Mus musculus: one gene and its partners. The protein of the gene in region 2 purifies or fractionates together with the protein of the main gene of each other region. This does not show direct contact. Links are inferred from orthologs where the notes say so. Each region holds a gene or a part of one and is shown on either strand. Other genes may lie near its edges.

Region 1 (5,517 bases), on a different chromosome or scaffold from region 2:
CTCAGACCTGCACACATGCTCACTTTTTCACACAGACACATTAAAGAAACTGTTAAGAGTTATTACATTTAAGCCAGGCGTGGTGGTGCACGCCTTTAATCCCAGCACCTGAGGGGCAGAGGCAGGTGGATTGCTGAGTTCAAGGCCAACCTGGTCTACAGAGTGAGTTCCAGGACAGCCAGGGCTATACAGAGAAACCCTGTTTTAGAAAAAAATAAAACAAAACAAAAAAACCCACAGACCTTTCACTAGCAGCTTTTTAAATTTGTAAAGTCCTCTAATAGCCTCAACTTACCTTGACAAATGAAATACTTAGAAATCTTACATGCAAGTTAAATGAAATAAAAGCCCTCCATCACTACGCACCCAACTGTGACAAAATGACAAAGACTGATATGAAGTGTCACTGAGTGCCTGCGCCCTGTGTCTCAGTCACCACGTGCCCACCTAGTCTTTCCTGTGAGATTCTATGAAAAGCAAACCTTTCCCAGACTGCCCTAAACCGAGCAGCTGGCACTGCTAAGGGCTTAATTTTCTCTGAGAAAATATCACAATAGTAGGTATTAGTCGTAACTTCAACTTATTTGAGTAATAAGCATAATTTTGGTATAGCCTCTGTTCTTTTTGAAAAATACTTCCAATCCATTATAAAAGCAAAACCACAATATTAGTGATTTCTTACTCTACCCTTCAAATATAAAGAAAAGCTACACAGAAATGCCTACACAGTGGTTTGACAAAGGAGTATGAGGTGGTTCAGACTGCCCTCTGAGAAAAACCAAACACGTCAGGAACTAGAGCATCGAGCGGGTCTCCCAAATCTCATGCTTGAACTTGAACCTGTGCTCAGTGCTAAGATCCTACAGCCCAGGCTGAAATGAACACTCAGAGGAATGAAGAAGTAGGAAGGAAGAGCTCTGGTGAAGGTCCATTTCAACAGAACAATGATGTCAGGTACATTTCTTTGTGCCTAGGTCTGCTATCTGTAAAAATAATTTAAAGCCGCTTCCGTACTGGATGTGGTAAATATATGCATTGGATCTTTAGAGCAGAGGAAAAACTATCAAGCAACTCATCTCTGAAGTTCCTCACAAGAACCATGGGAAACTACTAACCCTATGTTTCCTTAAACACACTGGGGCTTACACACACCTGAGCACTGTTCCCTTCCAAACACTCCACAGCAAACAGCACTTAGTCCCAAAATGCTACTGCACAGACATTTAGACATTTCCCTGAAATTGCTTTAGACTTGGCAAATTCAATCCTCCAAATGTGCAGCAACAGAACATGGATATTCCCAACTATGCTTGTTTTTGCTTATCCTTAAAATGAAAATGTCTGAAGTAACTTCTATTCAAAACAGGTTTATGTAAGTAATGAAATTGCATGGTTTCCTCCAGCAAGTTCCCTGAAGGAAACATTTCTCTGCTTAAAACACACCCCTCCCATAACTACAGACCTCCAATGTACAACTCATACTTAGCGGGGCCAAGCTCCCTATCTGCCATCATTCCTTCCTTCTCACCCCAGTGTCTTGGGCAGCAGCAATAGCATCACCCATCTCTGCAGCAACTCTGCTCCTTCATCACTAGGCCAGGATGGTAAGGAGCATTAGCAGCAGCCATTTTTTTTGAAAGGTGATTCACACAACGCTAAAATCTACACAATTAAATAAGAACTGCCCTAAGGCACAAGCTTTTCAATCCTGCATTTTTGTTCACTGGGCACTGTGAAAATCTGGTGAAACACTACCACTCTCCAGTGCTCTTTCACTAGTGACACACATACATGTTAAGTGATCTGACAACATGAAAAACTGCCCAGATCCTAAGGTGACAAGCATATGCATTTAAATGACTTGACAACCATGAAGAACCGCTCAGGTCCTACGAACCACCCTCTCGAACAACCTACAAAGCACTATTGAATCTTCAATCACCTGTACAGAAACTTGGCTGACTCTTCATGCTCATTAAGATCATGTCTTCATTTGAGTGATAACAAAAGCCCTATCATTATCAAAGCGAGAGGGCTAGTCTTGCCACAGAGACAAGTTTTGTTCCAGTTATTATTTCAGGGGCTAGAATGTACTCTTCTGTTGCCCCAGATCTCTTAGCGGCTGGCTTGCTATATCCAGCCCACCTGAAACTTTACTGCTACATGAAATGAAAATATCAACTGAGGGAATTGTCCTGAATTTTTGGCTTTAAACTTATCTCTGAGCAGACTCCAGTTTTGTTTTGTTTTGGGTTTTCCGGACTTTTTCTGGAGTAACTGGGAGCAGAGAGTAACGAGTACAGATTTAGAATCCCTACAGTTGACAGATTCTCCATGCAAACTCCTTCCTCTCTTGCGAATACCTCTTTATTCCATATCAGATACAGTCCCCCCTCACAAGCTTTGTTTGAGAAGTTCAGAATTCACACTTTAAATGTTCCTGACCTACCAAACTCAGAATTAAGACCAGCCCGCACATTTTCTCAAAAGTTCACAAGGAAAAGCATGGTAGGAGTCCTGTAGGAGATGCTTATTCTGGGATAGCTGGTTCTTTTGCCCTGTGGGGGGAAAGGTTACATGCCACCGTTGGCCACTCACCTTGAGAATTTTTACAACCACCCTCTCATTGTTGGTGATGTTAATGGCCTCAAATACTTCACTATACTTGCCCCGACCAAGTTTTCGAACCAGTTGGTAATCATCTTGATTACTGTGAAAGGCAAGAGATATACATAAATGCCAGGATTTGGGATTAAGCAAGCCTCTGTCCACCACACATCCATCCGCCATCTCCAACTAATCAAGCATTCGGAAGTATTCCTACCATCACACAGCAACTCATTCTCTTAAATGAGAGCCACACAGAAGCTTGGCTCCCTTCACTCTGCAGAGCTCCTAACCTAACTGACTCTTAACAAGAAGAGGAATGGGCAGCTACAAGGCCTCAGGAGCCATTAAGGGGACTAAGGGAAGCATCCCCCCTGGTGGTACTGGGGTGCCCTGCCCGTGGCTCCACGGCACCTGCCTCCCATTTCACACCTTCCAGGGGGCACTGCCCGCTCTAGACAATCTGCCCCTCTTCAAAATGACCCTCCCACCCAGCCTCATTTCAGAAAGTAAAGAGGTAGAGATTTCAACAGCTCAAGAGGACAGCCATGGACTTCCCAACCCATAGGAAGCCCAAAGTCTGAGGAGGAAGGGCCGCCCCCACCCCCGACCCCACGCTTCTCCCCACCGGCGGCTGAGCCGGGGACCGAGGCAGGGCGGACAGGAGAGGCCGGGGACACGTGCGGCCGGGGCCGGGCCTCCCTGCCAGCCCCGAGGCCGAGCGGCCGGCGGGTGCGGTTCGCGCGTGGGGCGGCCGGCGGCGGCTTTACCCCCAGCTCGGGACGTGGGCTTCGTAGTCCCAGTACTCGCGGCTCCTCAGGCTGTTCACCTCGGCGTAGACCCGGGCCCGACTGCCCGCGGCCGGGCCGGGCATGGCGGGCGGGACCGGGGGGCGCCGCGGGGCGCCGAGGGCGGCGGCGGCGCGGCGCGGGGCGCGGGGCGGCAGGCACGGGAAGCGGCGGGCCGCGGGCTGCCCAAGCAAGAGGAGGAGCGCGGCGGCGGCGGCGGGCGTCCGCGCCAGGCCGGGCCCGCGGGGGCGGGCGGACGGACGGACGCTCGGGCCGGGGGGCGCGGAAGGCGCCGGCCGAGCCGGCCCGGGGCCTTCGGCTGCCGGAGGGACGGCGGGGTTCGTGCTCCGCGGAGGCCTCCGCTCGGCTCGCGGCCCCCCAGAGGCGGTGGTGGCGGCAGCGGCAGCCACCGGTCGGGAGAGGGGCAGCGGCAGCGGCGGCGGCGGCGAAGAGGGAGGAGGAGGAGGCGGAGGAAACCCGGAAAAGGGGCCGCACTCGCCAGGAGCGGCCGCCGCCCAGCCCCGGCCCGCCCCGGCCCACAGCGCCCCCTACAGTGCGGGGGGACTATGGCCGGCGCCCGCCCCCTCAGCGAGCTCGCCACCCTCCAAGCAATGTGGCCGGCTGCCTGCCCAACTGCAGGCCACCCCCCAGAAGTCTCTACCTTTGACTGCCGCCGCGCTTAGCATAGTTCCACTGTCCAGTCACCTCGTGTCCACCCACCACGACCTCCCATATTGGCCCTGAGCTGACTTTCTTTGAAACCCAAGAACCCTCCCCTCAAACTGTCCCCCTTCCTCACTCCTCTTCCCACTCTGGACCCCACCCTGCCATCCACAGATCCCTTCCTTCAAGAGGAAAACCAAACTAGTCCTAAAGCTACCCTCGCCTCCCAATTCCCCATCCAGATTCCTCCCTGAGAGCCCACTGAGCCATCCTTTGGGCCACTTGCTTAAACCAGAGCCCACCAGATAGTTTCCCCATAAAGTTAACTGGGTTTTTCCCCCTTTGTATTGAACCTGTAATTTGTGGATCATACTTTGAGAATGTAAATATCCATTTTGTTTGTTTGTTTGTTTGGGAGGAGGGAGAGCTGGGGAGTGAGGACTTCTTGAACAGTCTTCTCTCTCATTGATGTCCTGGGGTCCCCGGCTATCTTGTTTTCCTGTTCATATTCTTTAACAACAAGGATCTCTTCTTCCAGCCCAGGTTGCTCTGACTCTAAACTCCCCCTCTCCCTCCCCCCCACACACTGTTTTCTAGATGAGGCCACGTTTCCTCTTTCTTCACATACCGAACTATCGAGGTTCAAGTCCCGGTTCCATAGTTTGCAAGGAATGCAGATTTGAACCAATGACTCAACGTCTCCGTGCTACAGATTTTGTAGCATCAACCCAGCACCGACTTCACAGAGCTGTACAGAGACTAAGGACTGCTCCATATTAAAACACTACATGTTCCCGCTGTTGTTAAACTCTACACCTTTCCTTCCCTGAGAATAGCGCATGCCCGTCTTTCAGTTTCTTCTTCTCTCTGAGCTTGGCCACGGGGTACCGCTGCCACCCCACAAATGACTGGCTTTCTTTTTCAAATCTCACCTTAGAGGCCACTTTCTCTGAAGTTGATACTTCTCTCAGCGACTCCTCCATGCCCTTCGTAAAACTACAGCTTGGCATGAGTCCTCTCCTGGTTTGCCATCTGTCCCCTCCCTGTGAAAACAATGTGAAGGCATGACTAGGGCTGGGTGATCACCACCAGGTCACTCAGTGTCTGCCGGGCAGGAGGCCTTCAGTCAACACAGTGCTCTTGGCCCACGGTTACCATGCTGGTTACAAAGGGGACCCTGAAGGTCATATTATGCATGGACCAGCTGACTTTCTGTGTGACGCACAGAGAAAGGACACACCACTCATCACATTGCTGTCAAAAAAGCTCAACCTGCATCCAACCAGACACGGCCAAACTGAGGGACAGTTCAGCAAAAAAATCTAGTTCACACTGCTAAAAAATAACAGTGTCACAGCCAAAACAAAACTTGAGGTGCTGCTCTAGAGTAAAGGAGACTGAGAGCGACCCCTGAGGCTGCACACTGTAATCCTACCTGAGGAGTAGACTGTGGGTTCAA
Region 2 (5,517 bases):
TCCCAGAATCCCGTCTGCAGCCTTACCTTTGTCTCTTGTCTCCAGCCCAGTTACATTTCCCAGATAACCTCAGACAAGCCTGAATGGCAGCAGCATTCCTCAAACAAAGCTGCCCCAATAGGTCACCAGCATATGCCGGCAGCTTCCTGCTCTTTGCCCTAGAAAACAGTTCAAGTGATCAGAGCCTGGGAGAGAGGGAGGGAGGGAGGGAAAAGGGAGAGGGAGAGCACGGGAGTACGTGTGTGTGTGTGTGTGTGTGTGTGTGTGTGTGTGTGTGTGTGTGTGCGCGCGCGCGCGCGCGCGCTCCCGCTTACACAACAAGCTTTAATCCATGCGCTCCCCTGCTGTGTATGTATTCTCTTTTCCAATTGGGAAGTTAGGTGTCCCCAAGACCTATCAGCAACTCCGTGTGTTGTCGCCTCCCCTCACCCCCCAAGCCATACTTCATATGGCTGATAGTAGAGTCCGAAGCCACATGAAGGGGAGGGTGCCCGGATCAGGCCTCAGGTTCCCTGTTTGGTCCCAGTAAGGTTTCCCTCCCCAGTAAGAGCCGACCCTTCCCTTTGGGTGAAGCCAGGCCTGTTGTCCTGAGTGCCTTTGTCAGGCCTAGTGGCTCTGGAGTTGTCCCCTGCTGCTATCGACCTCAGCTGGTTCAAACAAAATCCTGTCTCCTTTCCAAAGCCAGGGTTTTGTCCTGCAGTACTGTGTGTTTAGATTCCTGGCTGGGTCTGGAGCCTGAGAGCAGATTCCCCAGCCAGGGAGAGTGCACACTGGCCTGCTGGGCATCTGTTGTCCTTGGGGGGCAGGGAGAGCAAGCCATCAGCTCAGCCCTTCAATTCCTTTGAGGAAACGCCTGGGGAGGCAGGAATGAGTCCTAGTTTCAGTAGCTGAGGGGGACTTTATTGCTTTCTGGGTCCACCTCCTGGTGTCTGGCTGCATCAACTGCCGGCCCCTGAAGAAAGGTGTTTATTTAGCGTCTTTTTTTTTTTTTTAAGAATCTTGTTAATTAAGGATGTTGTTGTTTTTAAAAAAATAGCTAAGAATAGGAGAGAGCCTTGGACAGTTTTTGATTCTCCTCTGTGCCTTTTCTACAAATGACAGTTTTTAGGAAAGAATCAGGCACTGGTCTCCCACCCAGCACCATCGGGGAGAATTCTAAGCAGGTCTGAGGAACTAGTTAATATTTTACTGGGGAGCAGAGCCAGAGATGGGGGGAGTAGGGGGACTGCCAATGTGAGGCTGTGTGTGTGAAATTGCCCTTCCATCTGCCTTAGGGGACGAAAAGAAGCAGTTCTCTGTGGAAATAAATTGAAGCAAGAAGCCTTACGAAGCCCAGGGGATTTGTCTGCCCACCAAACAGGGCCCAGTTTCCCCCCAGAACACACATACAGGGGCGATTGTGGCAGAAAGGGCCAACCTGTGGGTGTGTAGGCCTGACTATAATGGACGGGCTTGTTTCCTGGCCCGGTTTGACATCTTTCTCTGTCCCTCTGGATTTAAATGGCTTCTCTGACTGAGAGGCACTGCCTGTATGCCCTGGATTCACAAGGTCCACGCCTCCTTGGGAAGCAGAAGCGAGACAGCAGCTAGCTAGCTCCCTCTCTCTCTCTCTCTGCATCTGCCCGGAGAGCTGCAGCTGGTATTTTTCCACAGGCCCTTTTCTACAATCTCAGGGCCTAGTTTTTCCCAGCGAGGCCCAGAGTCCCAGAGAGGGTTAACAGGCAGGAAGCTGAAGGCATCACAGACTAAGACGGAAGTCAGATTTTTGTTTAACTGACAGGTTTAGCAGGCCTCATCGGTGGGGGGAGGGAGCAGAGGGAGGGAAGACTTAAATGGAGGCATGTGGCCTGCTAGCAACGCATTTGGCTTTTCTTAGGGTAAGCCTGGAGAGGGTATCTCCCTTGCCATCCTGACAGAGCCCTTTTTGGTTTGTCTTTGAGGATCGGCTGAGGGGTGGCGGTGAGAGGTTAGAGGTCTCCCAGTTTTGCAAATGGCTCTGTGGGCCTGCCTTTTTTCCAAGAGCCACTTTGACCATGACTAGGCAAACTTGATCGCTCCACCTCACAGCAAGCTGCACCTCTCAGCTCCCTGGAACCTGGGTGCCCCTTGCTGATTTGTTGGGGCTCCCTCGGGCTGCCTGTCTCACTCCCCGCGCGCGCCCCCCCCCCCCGCCCCCCTCAGAGGCCTGCGTCTGGCCTTGTCCCTATTGCTTCTGCCTCCCTGGGGCTCTCTCCACCCCTAAGCTCGACTTTGTCCTTTGAGACCCACTCAAGCTGGCTTGTTCTATAAAACGGCCTGCTCGCCTTCTTAGAGAAGGACTTGTGTGTGGGGGCAGGCGTGGATGGGTCAGCCAGCCCACCCCAAAAGGGCCCTTCCCAGTGGCGCGCTGGCTTCAGGCTTTGCTGGAGCAGGTCAGGCTGGCTGCACGGGTTTGCCTGGCCTGGGGGATCGAGCCAGGGGGTGGGAGAAGTGCTTGTGGAGGCCCCTGTCCCAAGTTTTCCCTCCTGCAGAAGGCCTAGCTTAGCCTGTCTTTTTCTATGCACAGGATGGCTCTTGCTCACCCGAGCCTCACAAAGATAATCGCTCAGGAAGTGTTTCAGCCAATCGGCGGCGGCTTTACACTCCGATTGGCCGGGGCAGCCAATCGGGGATGAGCTTTTATTAGGCGGCCAGATCATCAGCCGAAGTGCCAAACCCTTTTTCTGTGAGAACTAGGAGCCTGTCCTCCATGTTTTATAAGTATTGACATTACACAGTTAACAATGCATCCACAGAGGTAAGCTCGGCTTTTTAACCATCTTTTCCCCCCTCCCTCCGAGTCATCGAGTCGTGGACTAGCAGTGTGATTTCTCTGTAGCCTGGCTCTGCCACACTTCCCCCCCCAGAGCACTTAGGGTAACTTGGGACTGTTTAGAGAGATTTTTTTTTTCCTTTTTGGGTCACATGGCTAAGTAGCCATTAGCCATAGCTTGATTTTACAGACTGGTGAGGGCTTGGAATACCTTTATTTTGACCAGGACAAAGAATTTCTGGACTAGTTTGAAGCTAGATCCTGGTATGCCAAAAGAGAAGCTATTATCCCCCCTTCTTTTATTTTATTTTTCCCTCCCTTCCTCTCCCCCCTCTCCCTCTCTCTCTGAACAGTCCTCCCCCTGCACTGTCGGCCGCTGTGTGTCACATGCCTGCTGGGGGAAGAAAATGGAAGGTAAGCCAGAAGCCAGAAGGTCTTCTCCCAGCACAGTTCAGGACTGCCTGTGGCAGAGAGCAGAGCAAGCCAGCTTGCTTCTCCAGAGCGGTTCTGGGAAAGGCTGGGCTAAGTTCTGACAAGAGAGGATGCGTGTTTGCACCAGAAGTCAGGCCTGAACAAGAACAGTACTCAGGGACCCAGGCTGGTTCCTGGGCCTAGGTGGGTGGTGGCGTGTGGACTGTCATCTCTTCCTCTCCAGAGCTTCGCACTCGCAGCAACATTGTTCAGGGTTTTTTTTTCCTCCCCCCGACTTAGCTTGGTACAGAATGTTCTTCAAGTCAGCCTACAGCCAGCAAATGGTTCTGAAAGTGTTTCCTAGCCTCTGAGGGAGTTTTTGGAGTAGGCTTGGTGCCTGGGGGGTTGGGGGTGGGTGGGGTGGGAGTGGGGATGGGGAGAGATTTTGAATAACATCCTGAAGGGGGGAAAAAAAGAGATCTGTGAAGACTCTGACTCCTTTAGTTTTATACTTCTTGCATGATTTTTCCATGGGCTAATGTCTCTTTTATCCTTGTCTCCCTCCCCCCTTTTCAAACATTCTATCATCTTCTGTCTTCTGTGATACAGTGCAGGGGACATGGCTCATACATACCTGAGGCTCATGACAGCATCCCATATCCAGTTGCTGGGTTGTGTTGTTGTGGTTGTTGTAGTGGTGGTGGTGGTGGTGGTGGTGTGTGTTTTTAATAATACCATGTAACTGTTTACCAAAAAAAAAAAAAAATTTCCTTTTTGATCAAGTCCCAAATCTGCCAGCCTGTCCTCTCCTCCTAACTGGGGAAAAGTGAGACGGTTGCTTGAACGTGTGTTGGGTAAGTAAACCTGCCTCCTCTGCGAACGTGGATCAAGAGTTTGGTGAACCTCTGGGGTCTGTGGTAATGGGGGTGGGGAGAGGGTGGCTTCCAGAGAGTGTCTTTGAGTTTAGGTGATGGCTGGAATCCACTGTTGTTCCTGCTAATCTGCAGTTAGGGCTGCAGCTCTCACTTCCTGCTTACTCTCCGCTGGGGGCAGGAATTACTGGGTTCCTTGTGACTCGCAGCTAGACCTTGGATTGTGCTTGGCTCTTCTGAACTCTGGGTAGGTGATCTGCTTGTGAAATGTGAAATGTGAGCAAAGCTGTTTTGTCCTTCCAGGGTTCCAGAGCCCCCCCCCCCCACACACACACAGGGCATGTGCCTGCATGTGCGCCTTGTGTTTTCATATGTAAGTTTTATGGTGTTTACATCTAGAACAGAAGCCTAGCCACTCCCAAACTAGGTTTGGCTTAGAACCCACTGACCACTAGATACAGCCTTCACCTCCCTGAAAGTCTGGGCCACACACCCCTGTACATGTTGGCTTTGCATTTGCCCTACTTTTGAGGCTGCAGCTAGAATCTTAAAGTCCTCACCTTCAGGGTCCACCTGGAAACTCACCACATCTAGTTCCTGCTTTGAGACCCAGTCAGGCTGCATGGAAGGGCTGTCTCTGAGCAGTGGTTATCCTAGGCCAACGGCACAGACTCTTGACTTTTTTTCTTCTAGTGTTCAGGCAGCTGAAGCTTTGACATCAGTTGAAAAAGGTTCACTTAGTAAAGAGAGACGGACTAAATTATCAACTGGGCAGTCTGTGTGGGGCAGGCCGGTGTCGCCGAGTCAAACACAGGTGGGGTATAATGTTCTTTAAGCAGTGCCTTAGCCGCACACAAGTTCTGTTACTCTCTTTATTCTTATCTCCTTGCTGTAAGTGGAAATTACAAACTGAGTTTCTTGAGGCCTCTGCAGATCCAGTGGCTAGTCACCAACCTCCTGGTTTGCCTCTCTCAGCCTTTGCGTAACTTCTTGGGCTGAAAGGAAACTTGAGGGCAAAGCGTTTGTCCTCTAAGAGCACGCATTAAAATGGCTCCTACAGGTTTGGGAAGCCAGGATCTGTTTGTGAGTGTGAACCTCAGCCAATTTCCCAGCCCTGACTCAAGCTGGCTGCTTTTCCTCGTGGCCACCACAGTGCCTGGGGTTGGTAAAAAGTTAATTGCTTTCGAAGTAGCATTCTTTTCCAGTTACTAAAGGGGGAACTAAAAAAAAAAGTCTGCATTGCAGTTGGACCGGGTGGGATCTTAGTGCAGGCCCACAGATTAGCCCAACGGGGTTCCCCTTTCTTCCTGTTCTCTTAAGCCAGCAGATTTAGGGGAAAGGTTAAAGATTGGCATTTGCAGTGGCCTGAGTAAGGACTTCTGGAAATTTCTACCATTTGTTGTTGTTGTTCCTTTTAGGAAAAGCAGGTGGCCAAGCTGAGGA
Region 3 (5,417 bases), on a different chromosome or scaffold from region 2:
TGAACATGAATCCTCCTACCTCAGCTTTTGAGTAGCTCTGATAACAACACTATATCACCAGACCTGGACTCCTTAGGTGTTTGTTTGTTTGATACCAACTGACCTCTACCTTTCAGTTCCTGGGATTTATTTTTTATGATAGCAAGTTGTTGATTTACCTTTTTCTTTTTAAAGTACTCTTTTATTTTTTATGAGTACACTGTAGCTGTCTTCAGATACCAGAAGAGGGCATCAGACCCTATTACAAATAGTTGGAAGCCACTATTTATTGCTGGGAATTGAACTCAGGACCTCTGGTTGACTTAACTTAATAAAAGTGTATTGGAAAGCCAATTGTGGTGGCACATAACTTTAATTAATCTCAGTACTTGGGAGACAGAGACAGCAGGACCTGGTCTACATACAAAGTTCTAGGGCAGCCAGGGTTGCATAGGCCCCATCTCTCAAAACAAAAAGAATATATTGGAGACTTTACTATTCAATATGCTGACACACACCCATTCTTTATGAAGATGCCACACAATTCTACTTACGAATACAGTTTATGTCACTATTAACTTGTTTGTTGATGGGTATTTATTTAGGTTGTTTTTGGTCCTTTGCTGCTATAAACAGTGCTACTGGAAATAGTCTTGTAATACAGCATATTTTTGTGATTGTTGGGTCAATTTCTTAGTATTGCAAGGATTTTGGTACTAAAGCTAGATAGGATCTTTATAAACTTGAGATAGGGTCTATCTCACTGTGTAGCTTTGCCTGACCTGAAGCTTATTGTGTAGACCAGGGATGAGGTCTGCTCTTAGAGATCCACCACCTGCCTCAACCTCAGAGTACTGAAATTAAAGGTGTGTACCACCATGCGTAGCATAGATGTTTTGTCATTGGTACCTTTGAGTGTGTCCAATATTGAGAAAAATAATGAGTTCAGGAAAGCAGGTTGTTGGGGGCTGGAGAGATGGCTTAGCGGTTAAGAGCACTGACTTCTCTTCCGAAGGCCCTGAGTTTAAATCCCAGCAACCATGTGGTGGCTCACAACCATCTGTAATGAGATTTGACGCCCTCTACTGGTGTGTCTTAAGATGGCTACAGTGTACTTACATATAAATAATAAATTTTTTTTTAAAGGAAAGTAGGTTGTTTCTGTTGACCAGTCTGGCCTCAAAGTTAGAGATCCACCTACCTCTGCCTCCCAAGTGCTGGAGGTTAAAGGTGTGTACCACCATGATCTGAAGTAGGTTTGATCTAATGAAGGACTTATTAGTAAAACATAAAAATAAATCTTTATGTGAGAGAAACAAGTCATGTGAAACTGGAATATTTGAATTTGAATCAAATTTTTAAGATTTCCCCCAGTTTAGCTGGAACAATACTTCTTCCAAAGGTCATAGATGATAGATAAACTGTCTATCTGACTGCTTTTATTATATATACTTAATGGTCTTCATTTTCCTGCATAGCTCCACTAAAAAATAACCTTTTGTTTCTCCTCCATAACAGGTCTCTTTTGAGATATATTTAAGATCCCTATAAAGGTTTTAGTTTGTCCATGTTCTAAATTACATTATTGAAGGCCTTTCCCCGTCTCTAACACTAGAAATTGAACCCAGGATTTCACGCATGAGAGTTGAATGCTATACTACTACCAAGCTATATTCCCAACTCACTCTCTTTTTTTTTTTTTGAGTCAGGGCCTCTGCTTAGTTGTGCACACTGGCTGTGAACCTGAACTCACTGCATGGTTTTGGCAGGCCTTAGTTTGTGATCTTCTTGCTTTCGCAGCCTGAATAATTAAGATTATAGATGTAGGACACCCAGCAAAAGCCTAAAATTTCCACAATAACTTTTCTGAGTAAAAATAAATATACATATGCCTGCCCTCACCCAAAGCCATATTTTTGGCTTACTATGTATGCATCAACCAATAGCTACCCTCCTCTCTAAACTTCGTATTGCTTAGTAACTCCTACCTATTTTCAGGAGTTGTGTGTTGTTTTACCATAAGCCAAATTTTAATTTGATAGCACTTAATTTTGTAAGTTATTACTAAAGGACATGCATGGACATAATTTCCAACTCTTGGTTGTTATTTTTAAACGTTACTGCTTCCTTTGTACAGGAGAAATTTAGGAACAAACAGATATGTGACCTAACTTGTCTGGTTTTGGGACTTCTTTGTGGGACAGTGGGGCGCAGTTGAAATTCTTCTGGATAAGACAATGGGAAAGCATTGTTGATACTTAATAGCAGTGCAAAAATTGCTGTTTGGTCGATGGTGGCAAAAGACACTGGCAAGTTCTTCAGCCTGAAAGTGAATCTCCATAGAGTAAGGTGACAGAAACACTTGAGAATGTGCATTGCATAGGTATCATAAACAAAAAGAAATGATTTTATATCATGCCATTTCACTTAACCTATTTTTCAGGTGAAGAGAATGAGACTGGAGAGAGGTTGTACATACAGCTATTTTTATAGGTTGCATATATAGCTAGATTTAGTTTGAACCAGTATATAAACCCCCCTTTTTTCCCTTACCACTTCACTCATTCTGTTTTATCTCATTGGGAAAACAGAAACATCTAGCATAATAAACATCAGCTATAGGCTAAATGTACAATTTGAGAAGTCTAGAGTATTGGATCAGTGATGAACTTCTATGTAGATAGATGTTGGTATGTTTGGTGAGTTGAATCTACTGTCCTTAATGCTGTTCTAAGAAAGGTAGCATTCACAATGATAATTGAAGGCAAGGAAGATGACTCTCCAGGCAGGAAAGAAAAACTAAACTCTTCAAATAGAATGTTTTCTTACATTTGAAAGTATGGGGATAATAAAGTTGGTAATTAGATGGGAAGCAGGGTTTTGTTGGTGTTCTCTATATATTTGCTGAAGAAATGTTCATGCTAATTTTGAGGGAACCAGACTAAATTTGTTAGCAGCTGAAAATTGTATAGGATTAGTTTCACTTTTTTTTTCTCCTAAACAGACCAGAAGGAAAGGATTATGCCCTTCATTGGCTAGTGCTGGGCACTCATACATCTGATGAGCAGAACCATCTGGTGGTTGCTCGAGTTCATATTCCCAATGATGATGCACAGTTTGATGCTTCCCACTGTGACAGTGACAAGGGAGGTGGGTATACTACATATTTCAACATTAACGTCAAAGGGAGGAGTCATCTTAGCATGTAGATTAAAATTTGTAGTCAGCTTTTGGCTTAGCCATGTAACTTTTATTTGGTTTTTTTTTTTTTTTGGGTGGGGGTCGACACAGGGTTTCTCTGTGTAGCTCCGGCTATCTATCCTGGAACTCACTCTGTAGACTAGGCTGACCTTGAACTCAAATCTGTCTGCCTTTGCCACCCAAGTGCTGGGATTAAAGGTATGCGACACCACTGCCTGGCTTTTGTTCTTTGTTGGTTTTTTTGGGGGGGGGGTAACTTAAAAGAAGTAGTCACACATATGTGTTGAGGTTTTTTCACAGTAACATATACAGTACCAAGAAATTAGGATCAGTGTAGCAAAATAAGAGGGTCATGGGACATTGATTAAGTACATTATAGTGTGTTTAAAATATTACTCTGCAACTAAGAATGAAAAGAAAAACTGGTATGTAAGGTGAGATTTTTATAAATAATCAGATCTTAACTAGAAAGGCCAGTTTTTAAATTTTTTTATATCCAAGGTAGAACCAACTGTATTAACATGAGGTAGCAATCCATATAATGCAGATGGGCTTTGAGATCAATTTCATATAGCAGATAACTTGTATTTTGGAGATTTTCTTTTTCTCCACTATCTGTTTTCTATTCGGACTGTAAATTTGGTTGAGTTGATTGAGTTAAATGACTTGTGAGTAATAATCCTGAATGTATATGTTTTATGTCTCCTCACATTAGAATTCGGTGGCTTTGGTTCTGTAACAGGGAAAATTGAATGTGAAATTAAAATTAACCATGAAGGAGAAGTGAATCGTGCTCGTTATATGCCACAGAATCCTCACATCATTGCCACAAAAACACCATCTTCTGATGTTTTGGTTTTTGACTATACAAAACACCCTGCAAAACCAGGTATGTAATAATAAAGCCAGGCCAGTACACATCTTTGTTGATTGGAGACGATAATATTTTAAAAATAAAGTACTGTACTGTGTAGGCTGGAGAGATGGCTCAACAGCAGTTAGAAACTCTGGCTGCTCTTCAGAGGATGTGCATTCAATTCCCAGCACCCACATGGCAGTTATTTTATAACTTTCAAAGTGAGGAATCTCATAACCACCTGCAAGTTTGGTGATTTGCTAGAACCTGATAGCAGATTATACTTGCAGGTGTGGATCCAGGGCAAAAGCAGAAGAAAAAAAGATGAATCAGGTAGATCGGGGACCCAGACAGGCTTCTGAGTATTTCCTTTCTGGGATCAAACAGGACATGCTTTTTCTGTAGCAGAAAAGTACAGGAATTTTTGCTAAGTGACTGTCCAGAGGAGCCTGTTTGAGGCCCAAGGTCTGGGGCTTCTAAGGTAAATTTGGTTACAGGCTCTGTGTACACTCATGGTAATGAAAACCAGCAGCTTCAACAATGAAGTTAGATGAATACTTGATAAACTGTACTACAAGTTGCTGCAGCATGTTTTCACTGCTCTGAGCATGTCACATTCTGAAAGGTTGGCCAAAGGTCATTCATGGTTTCAAGATACCCTGGGTATGCAAGGACTAAATGAGTAACCAGACATGTTAGATATATTTCTAAAAATTGCCTTGGGATGAGAATGATGGGGTAGCTACTACACAGATGGAATAGCTGTACTTGTCAACATTTCTGTAATAGTGATAATACTGTTGTTTTTTTTCCCCAAAACCAGTCAAAGCACTTGTGGGTTATATGTACTCTTGGTTGGTTGGTTTGTTTGTTTGTTTGTTTGAGACAGGGTTTCTTCTCTGTGTAGCCCTGGCTATACTGGAAGTAGCTCAGTAGACCAGGCTGGCCTTGAACTCAGAAATCCACCTGCCTCTAGCCTCCCAAGTGCTGGAATTAAAGGAGTGTGCCACCACGCCCAGCAGATGAAGTCTTTGTTCTTGTAGAATTGCTCTTTTGGTTCACTCAATGAAAGGAATTTGAAGCTTGGCTCTTTACAATTCTGATAAACAGGTAACTTAGTGGTCAATGTGTTTCTTTTTTCTTCTTAGATCCAAGTGGAGAATGTAATCCTGATCTTAGATTAAGAGGTCACCAAAAGGAAGGCTATGGTCTTTCCTGGAATTCTAATCTGAGTGGGCATCTCCTGAGTGCATCTGATGACCATGTAAGAGCCGAGTTTTTCTTAATCTGTTGTATGTTATTCGTGAAAGTCCTAAATCTAAGCTATAGGATCTCTGCATAGATTGAAATTTTTTTTAAAAGATAACATCATACATAGATT

Evidence for each region.
Region 1: the proteins of Zmynd8 (region 2) and Csnk2a2 purify together in Homo sapiens (affinity purification with mass spectrometry; 6 studies listed by BioGRID and IntAct, counting the BioPlex papers as one, with this or other methods). This does not show direct contact. The link is inferred for Mus musculus from reciprocal best matches to the Homo sapiens genes ZMYND8 and CSNK2A2.
Region 3: the proteins of Zmynd8 (region 2) and Rbbp7 purify together in Homo sapiens (affinity purification with mass spectrometry; 3 studies listed by BioGRID and IntAct, with this or other methods). This does not show direct contact. The link is inferred for Mus musculus from reciprocal best matches to the Homo sapiens genes ZMYND8 and RBBP7.

Annotation. Positions count from the first base shown.
Region 1 is NC_000074.6:95,484,967-95,490,483, forward strand, and holds the start of Csnk2a2 (casein kinase II subunit alpha'), read right to left. Parts: upstream 3,855-5,517; 5' UTR 3,482-3,854; coding exon 3,378-3,481; exon of another isoform or gene 3,236-3,377; intron 3,195-3,235; exon of another isoform or gene 2,711-3,194; coding exon 2,599-2,710; intron 1-2,598.
Region 2 is NC_000068.7:165,881,867-165,887,383, reverse strand, and holds the start of Zmynd8 (protein kinase C-binding protein 1), read left to right. Parts: upstream 1-2,545; 5' UTR 2,546-2,762; coding exon 2,763-2,776; intron 2,777-3,144; exon of another isoform or gene 3,145-3,205; intron 3,206-3,990; exon of another isoform or gene 3,991-4,056; intron 4,057-4,932; exon of another isoform or gene 4,933-5,517. UniProt on the Homo sapiens protein: Chromatin reader that recognizes dual histone modifications such as histone H3.1 dimethylated at 'Lys-36' and histone H4 acetylated at 'Lys-16' (H3.1K36me2-H4K16ac) and histone H3 methylated at 'Lys-4' and histone H4 acetylated at 'Lys-14' (H3K4me1-H3K14ac).
Region 3 is NC_000086.7:162,765,869-162,771,285, forward strand, and holds part of Rbbp7 (histone-binding protein RBBP7), read left to right. Parts: intron 1-2,983; coding exon 2,984-3,129; intron 3,130-3,895; coding exon 3,896-4,069; intron 4,070-5,184; coding exon 5,185-5,300; intron 5,301-5,417. UniProt on the Homo sapiens protein: Core histone-binding subunit that may target chromatin remodeling factors, histone acetyltransferases and histone deacetylases to their histone substrates in a manner that is regulated by nucleosomal DNA.